2 linked regions of the Anolis sagrei genome follow. Each later gene encodes a partner of the first gene's protein in a complex. Links are inferred from orthologs where the notes say so. Each region holds a gene or a part of one and is shown on either strand. Other genes may lie near its edges. The genes, in order: SCAP and INSIG2.

Region 1 (3,919 bases):
CTTCCTATACAGATCTTTTGTATAGTCTCGCCACCTTCTCTTGATCTCTTCAGCTTCTGTTAGGTCCCTGCCATCTTTGTTTTTAAGGCCCATTCCACCTCACTCCTCAGGATGTCTGGTTCTAATTCATTCACCACACCGTCAAAACTCTCCTCGATATTATTATCCTTCCTATACATATCTTCTGTATAGTCTCGCCACCTTCTCTTGATCTCTTCAGCTTCTGTTAGGTCCCTGCCATCTTTGTTTTTAAGGCCCATTCCACTTCACTCCTCAGGATGTCTGGTTCTAATTCATTCACCACACCGTCAAAACTCTCCTCGATATTATTATCCTTCCTATACAGATCTTCTGTATAGTCTTGCCACCTTCTCTTGATTATTTATGTAGATTACTGCTTATACTCACCAATCAGGTTTTCTAGGTGCAAGGTTTGCCAAATCCTAGGAATAGAGGAAGGAAATTATTATTATTATTGATGATGAGGATGATGAAGAAAACCATAATATTTTGTCTTAAATCCTTGTAAATGAACGAAAAGCAAGCAATTTTGAGAAATACAAACAAACATTGTTATGTGTAGAGATAGGTTATATAGCTGGAGTTACTCCCATGACAGCTTTAAGGCTCTTCCTGGAGCATGCGCACAATCTTCGTCCCGGCGCTAGGACCAAGCGGAAGCTTTTGCAGCAGTTGGCATCAGCGAGCGGAGGGCGTGGCTTAGCAGAGCAGAAGAGAAAAAAAAAACACCCGGTGGCGCATGCGCGCAAAAGGTTGAAGTCTAGGGCAGGAGAAATGGCGGAAAGGGTTTGTTCCTCCCTTACTCGCGGGCTCTTTCTACGCATGCGCACGAAAAAGAGGCGGAGCGACGGAAGCCGGGAAGCGGCGAAGGAGGAGAACGAGGAGAAGGCGAAAGCGGGCGGCGTGTGAGGAGGCGCGGAGGGGAAGAAAGGAAGGAAGGAGGCGGTTGGAGAGCTGTTCCCCGTCTTTTTTTGAGGTGAGAAGGGGAAGGGAGAGAGGGAGGCTCCGTAGGCCGCGCCTGGGGCTGAGGGGAGCCGCACTACTCCCAATCAGGCTCCCTTTGGGCCTGTTTTGGGGACCCTTTGAGGGAGGCCTCGACCTGTTGAACTCCTCCTTCCTCAATGGCGATTAGGAACCAGCCTGGGAAGCCGTTTCAGTGTTGTAGTTACAATATTTGAATGGGTTTTAGGTGATCTTCGGTTTGATTGTAATGTTTACATAGAATCACAGAATCCTAGAGTTGGAAGAGACCTCCTGGGCCATCCAGTCCAACCCCATTCTGCCAAGAAACAGGAATATTGCATTCAAACCACCCCTGACAGATGGCCATCCAGCCCCTGTTTAAAAGCTTCCAAAGAAGGAGCCTCCACCACACTCTGGGGCAGAGAGTTCCACTGCTGAACGGCTCTCACAGCCAGGAAGTTCTTCCTCTTCCTCATGTTCAGATGGAATCTCCTCTCTTGTAGTTTGAAGCCATTGTTCCCTTGCGTCCTAGTCTCCAGGGAAGCAGAAAACAAGCTTGCTCCCTCCTCCCTGTGGCTTCCTTTCACATATTTATACATGGCTATCATATTTCCTCTCGGCCTTCTCTTCTTCAGGCTAAACATGCCCAGCTCCTTAAGCCGCTCCTCATAGGGCTTGTTCTCCAAACTCTTGATCATTTTAGTCGCCCTCCTCTGGACACATTCCAGCTTGTCAATCTCTCTCTTGAGTTGTGGTGCCCAGAATTGGACACAATATTCCAGGTGTGGTCTAACTAAAGCGGAATAGAGCCTGAGGAGCATGACTTTCCTAGATCTAGACACTAGGCTCCTCTTGATGCAGGACAAAATTCCATTGGGGTTTTTTTTTGCCGCCACATCACATTGTTGGCTCATGTTTAACTTGTTGTCCACGAGGACTCCGAGATCTTTTTCACACGTACTGCTCTCGAGCCAGGCCTCATCGTCCCTCATTCTGTCTCTTTGCATTTCGTTTTTTCTGCCTAAGTGGAGTATCTTGCATTTGTCCCTGTTGAACTTCATTTTTTTTTAGTTTTGGCCAATCATCTCTCTAATCTCTCAAGATTATTTTGAATCCTGCTCCTGTCCTCTGGAGTATTGGCTATCCCTCCCAATTTGGTGTCGTCTGCAAACTTGATGATCCTGCCTTCTAGCCCTTCATCTAAGTCATTAATAAAGATGTTGAACAGGACCGGGCCCAGGACAGAACCCTGCTGATGGCACTCCACTAGTCACTTCTTTCCAAGATGAAGAGGAAGCATTGGTGAGCACCCTCTGCGTTCGTCCATTTAACCAATTACTGATCCATCTCACCGTAGTTTTGCCTAGCCCACATTGGACTAGTTTGTTTGAGTTCAGAGGAGAGCAACTGCTTTGGGAGACGGTGGTCGGGCATCCGGACAACGTGGCCGGTCCAGCGGAGTTGATGGCGGAGGACCATCGCTTCAGTGCTGGTGGTCTTTGCTTCTTCCAGCATGCTGACGTTTGTCCGCTTGTCTTCCCAAGAGAATTGCAGGATTTTCCGGAGACAGCGCTGATGGAATCGTTCCAGGAGTTGCATGTGATGTCTGTAGACAGTCCACCTCTCACAGGTGTATAGCAGGGTTGGGAGGACAATAGCTTTATAAACCTTGGTCTCCCTACCGATGCCCCGGTCCTCAAACACTCTCTGCTTCATTGGGAAAAATGCTGCACTCGCAGAGCTCAGGCGGTGTTGTATTTCAGTGTCAATGTTGACTTTGGTGGAGAGGTGGTGGCCATGGGAGTGGAAATGATCAACATTTTGTAATGTTACACCAATAAGCTTTATCTCTGGCGTTGGAGAGGGATTGGCTGGTGACTGCTGGAAGAGCACTTTGGTTTTCTTGATGTTCAATGACAGGCCGAGCTTCTCCTATGCTCTGCGAAGGTGTTTAGAGTGGCTTGTAGATCTTCTTCTGAATGTGCACAGATGACGTTGTCATCAGCATACTGGAGTTGTATAACAGATGTTGTTGTAACCTTGGTTTTGGCTTTCAGTCTGCTGAGGTTAAAGAGCTTGCCATTTGTCCGATAGATGATTTCCACTCCGGTGGGAAGCTTCCCATCAACAAGGTGAAGTATCATAGTGATGAAGATGGAGAATAAAGTTGGGGCAATAACACATCCCTGTTTGATGCCTGATTCCACCTTAAATGGGTCACTTTGGGAGCCATTGCTGTCCAAGACTGTTGTCATCATGGAGGAGCCGCAGGATGTTCACATGCATGTCGTCTATAACCACAAGTCTACACCATTATCCTCCACCTCCTCCATTCAGTATTATCCACACACTTATCTAGTATGTCTTAGAGTTCATTCACTCTTTTGTTTTTGTTTTTTCCCTTCCCTCCCCCCCCCCCACCCCAAATACCACATTTCCATTAGAACTTTAACTCCATCCATGAGCTCAGCTTTTCCCATCACTGTACAATATTTACATTGGCTTCGCCTCTTTTTATCTATTCTGAATATATGAACCATTTCTCTTTAATTTTCCTCATTTTATCTTCCTTCATATCCTCACAGGTTACATTTGCAATAATTTCTGATTGGATCTGGTCAAACAAATATTTATTCCAATTAGCCATATTCGGTTTTTTTGCATCTTTCCAACCCCAAGCTATCACAGAATCATTGCTTTGAAGAAGCAAGAATCATTGCTTTGAAGAAATCTTGATATTTTGGATTGATTTTCTTGTTTCCTAATATTCCCATGAACATCAACTCCATATTTATTTGAAGTGGTATCTTAAATATTTTCTCCATTTTTTCTGTTATTTGTTCTCAAAATGTTTTTGCCTTTGGACATTCCCACCACATATGTGCATGCCAGAAGCATTTATGAGCCCCCTGGGGGGTTGAGAAAGGCGGGGTAC
Region 2 (3,919 bases), on another chromosome or scaffold:
GTCTAACCACCATGAGACTAGATTGACCTGTCTTCCCAGCATGGCTCTGGACACTGGGAACCCCAAAGACTCTTGAAGGGGTTGCCCCGATCAATGCCCTGCCATTCTCTCCACGCTCAGCCGACATCTTTTTTAGGTGAAAATGGGACTCGCTCTAAATGGACACTAGGGTTTGAAACCTGAAGTCTGGAATGCTTCCTCTCCAATGCAACTGCTGTAATAAAGGATTAGGATGTTTTATTTTTTGAAAAAAATCTTTTTTTATATGCATCTTTTCTCTCACAAAGGGACCCAAAGGGGCTTTCAACATGTTAAAAATACAGTACAAAATCAAACACACAAATATAAAACATTATAAACAAGCAAGATCAAACAAAGCAGTATACATTATTGTGCAATCTTACCACATTATATTGCACTTAGCATATTGTTATTATACGTAATATTAATAACAATATTAAATATGAATAACATATAATTTTGTCTTGTAAAAAAGCTAATAGAGGCAGAAGCAGAATTAACTGCACTTGTCAACATTTCCAGCAAAGACAAGATACAAAGATTATGATGTATGGCCTATATAGCAAAATAGCTGAATTTAATCTAATAAATTTAATACAGTTGTTATAAAAAGTATTTTTATATAATGTGCACTATTAGTATGACAAGGTTCAGTCAATCCAAATTATGAGTTTCATACAATCTATTTGGAAATAATAGGACAAAAAGAAAGAGGAATTTGAACCATAGCATTTCTTTCAAGTTAAGAACCTCTATGTTTTATGTGTATATGTGATTTCTAAAGAACATTTAGATATGTGTATGTACTTTAATTCTCCTTTTCCTTCTTTGAATAGGAATTGGAGGATGTCCTGAATCAAGGAAAAAAAGGATTGCTCCAGCCTTGGTTCTCCTTCTTTTCAGGCTTCAAACATTTTGTGCTGAATGTTGCTGGGAGTTCATAAGGCCATGGCAGATGCTGCTGCCCAGCCATCCATACGAAGGAAGTGTGGCCCATACATTTCTTCAGTCACCAGCCGCAGCCTCAACTTGATGCTTCGTGGGGTGGTCCTATTTTTAATCGGTGTCTTTCTTGCATTAGTATTAAACCTGCTACAGATTCAGAGAAATGTCACCTTGTTTCCCCCCGATGTAATTACAAGTATCTTCTCATCAGCTTGGTGGGTCCCACTTTGCTGTGGAACAGCTTCAGGTATGGCAGAACTGAGCAGATATACTAGGGAACCACTTGGGAAAATGATATGAAATCAGTCCAGTCCACACAAGGAGTGTGTGCCCAGAATCCCTTCCCATTGCCTTCAATAGTGCCTCAGTATTTGTAATTTTAGTTGTCAATAGCAAAACCTTTCTCTAAGTGCATCTACATTTTAGAATTAAAGGAGTTAGGCACCACTTTAACCTCCATGGCTCAGTGTAGATTGACAAGGTCTTTAACCTCTGCCAAAGAGTTCTGGTGTCACACCAACCTACAGTGCCCAAGTATCCATAGCATTGAGCCATTGCAGTTAAAGTGGTGCTTTAATCAGTGTAGATGCACCTTCTGTCTCTTTTTCTCTCTAGTTTTGAGAGGAATAGTTTAACCAAAAGCTTTATTTTAAAAAAATATATAATGTAAACTTAAAGAGCAAGTCAATCAGTGGAGTGATATATATTAGGAGTGTGCAAAATTCTGGACGTTTTGAATTTCAGAAAATTTTGGCATTTTGGAGACATGAACTGCCAAAATGAAACGCAGGAAGGACCCCGCCAAAGTATTAACAAATCAAAACATAAGGCTCTGAAACTTTCTGTGAAATTCGGAAAAGATTTGTTGATTCTGACCTTTTTTCCCAGTTTAACATAATCCGTTGTCCTGGGAGGGGAGAGGGGCGGGGGCTGACGTGATTGACAAGGGCAGCTGCACACTTTTTTTTCCTTGACAGCTGAAGAAGAAAGATATCAATAATGGTAATTACCTGGCCATTTTTTTCCAAGCGAGCAATCTCTCCATGAGACAGATGGGGCTGAGTGCTGCCATACTTGCTGCATCACATGCTCTTCCTCAGCCAGTCACTGGGCTTGTTTTCTTCTCCATTCTCCTCTCCTGTTGTGAAGTTGTTTTGGACTTCCAAGTCCCAGAAATCCCTGCTGAATAGCAACTGCACCTGGTTTTTTTTTTCTGCAAGCTGTCTCCTCCTCTCGATTAGGAGAGAGAAAATTTACTTTTATTTCCCCTAAAAATCAGTGGTGAGTGAAACGTTCTGAAATTTGGGAAAAATTATGTCCTGCATATGTTGTGTCATTGTTCAGAAATTCAAGGGGATCCCTTCTGTCGTTTTTTTTTAAATGTTATTTTTAAAAACTTTTAAAATTCCAAAAAATCAGTACATGAGCGAAATGTTCTGAAACTTGTGAGGCTTAAAGTTATAAAATTGTCCTTCAAGTGTTCCACATAAATGGCAGAGAAACCTCTAAAGTTCCCCCATTGCCACCAATGGAACAAAACAGTAATGAAATGAAACAAAACTTTAAAAATTCAGATTTGAAACTACCTCCCTCCCCATTTTTTGAAATATTTTCAAAATGAAATGGGCCATCTGAATTTTGAAACAAAATTCAAAACAGATTTCTGTTGCTTCGCACACTTCTAATACAGAGACAAGTGAAAAACATGAGCTAGTGAATGCATTTCCTTGAGCAGCTATGAACTTATGGCTTTTGGATTTTCTTGGTAAGGTAGTGTATGTATTTCTCGTTTCCTTTTGTTTCAGGGAATTCCTTGATAAATAAAATTGATACTTTATACTATCAGCAGAAACCCTAAGTAGGGAAGTCAAGAGCCAACACTGAGAGAGAATTCTCAAGTAAATGCCAAAAATAAGACAATTTGGCCATTAGGTTTTTTAATTTATTTATTTATTACCAAATTTGTACATCGCTCTTCTCAACCCTGAGGGGGACTCCAAGGATGTCTTATTTTTCCATGAAGATGAATTCTCATTTATTGTTGAACCAAAAAATGAACATTTATTATATACCCTACAGTAGTTGTCATCACAAACCATAAAAGCAGACACCCCTAAAGAATCAAAGTAATAGACTGCTTGCCTGACTCACACACAAGGCCACAAAAAATAAGGGCTGTAAAGTACTTGGCTCCCACACACTGTCTGGAGACTATAACGGTCTCTCACAGCAGTTCCTGGACCACTTGTACAGCAGGGACAGTATTGCAGCTTCTGACCACCAGAGGGAGTTCAAAAACTTTGCTAGGTCTTACTTTTGGGCAGTGGGGGGGGGGGCAGTGGCTTATATTTAGCAATTCAGCAAAACCTCTACTAGGTCTTATTTTCAGGAGATGTCTTATTGTCACAGAAACAGCGTAAATAAATATAATAATAATAATAATAATAATAATAATAATTTGCTAGTTTTTTCCTTCTTAGAAGGTGCACTTGGAAAAGTCTGATTACAACTATAGATTCTGTTTTACATCTAAACTTCATGTCCACCATAGTTTCTTCTTTTCCATAGCCAGACTGAAATTATTGAGTATTCTGCCTGACTTCATTTGACAATTACAATCAGCCCTCTACATCTGCAGATTTGATTATCCATAGATTTCATTAAAATGCAATCTCTAGCAATTTCTAGATCCTTCTGTGTGATTAGAGGGGAGTTGACCCAAAGTCGTGCTAGAAAAGGCAAAGGTATGATATATGATAAAAGAACAAAATTAAAACTGGGAGTGAGGGAAGAGAGAAGATATTTGAAAGATTGGCAAGTGTTACTGAAGTCAGTGGAACTTGCTTCTAAGTAGAAACATTTAGGATTTTGCTTTAAGAAAACCTACATTTAAAAGTGATATTTAAAGTGTTCCTTATTGTAACACTCCAGAGAGAGGAGTTTCAGATGCTTC

Evidence for each region.
Region 2: the proteins of SCAP (region 1) and INSIG2 are in contact, whole or in part, in a cryo-EM structure (PDB 7ETW), measured with the Homo sapiens proteins. The link is inferred for Anolis sagrei from reciprocal best matches to the Homo sapiens genes SCAP and INSIG2. Residues at the interface, in NP_036367.2 of Homo sapiens: Pro200, Ser206, Val282, Ala283, Glu284, Ile286, Pro287, Thr290, Ile294, Ala297, Tyr298, Phe301, Lys305, Tyr351, Val354, Val355, Glu359, Thr409, Leu410, Val411, Ser638, Tyr639; in NP_001308258.1 of Homo sapiens: Phe41, Val45, Leu48, Leu49, Ile51, Val55, Leu57, Phe58, Pro59, Val62, Ser65, Ile66, Glu104, Trp105, Ser106, Met109, Arg110, Val112, Ala113, Val114, Val116, Gly117, His120, Gln132.

The regions. Positions count from the first base shown.
Region 1 is NC_090026.1:131,103,379-131,107,297, forward strand, and holds the start of SCAP (sterol regulatory element-binding protein cleavage-activating protein), read left to right. Parts: upstream 1-793; 5' UTR 794-997; intron 998-3,919. UniProt on the Homo sapiens protein: Escort protein required for cholesterol as well as lipid homeostasis.
Region 2 is NC_090021.1:217,544,823-217,548,741, forward strand, and holds the start of INSIG2 (insulin-induced gene 2 protein), read left to right. Parts: upstream 1-945; coding exon 946-1,213; intron 1,214-3,919. UniProt on the Homo sapiens protein: Oxysterol-binding protein that mediates feedback control of cholesterol synthesis by controlling both endoplasmic reticulum to Golgi transport of SCAP and degradation of HMGCR.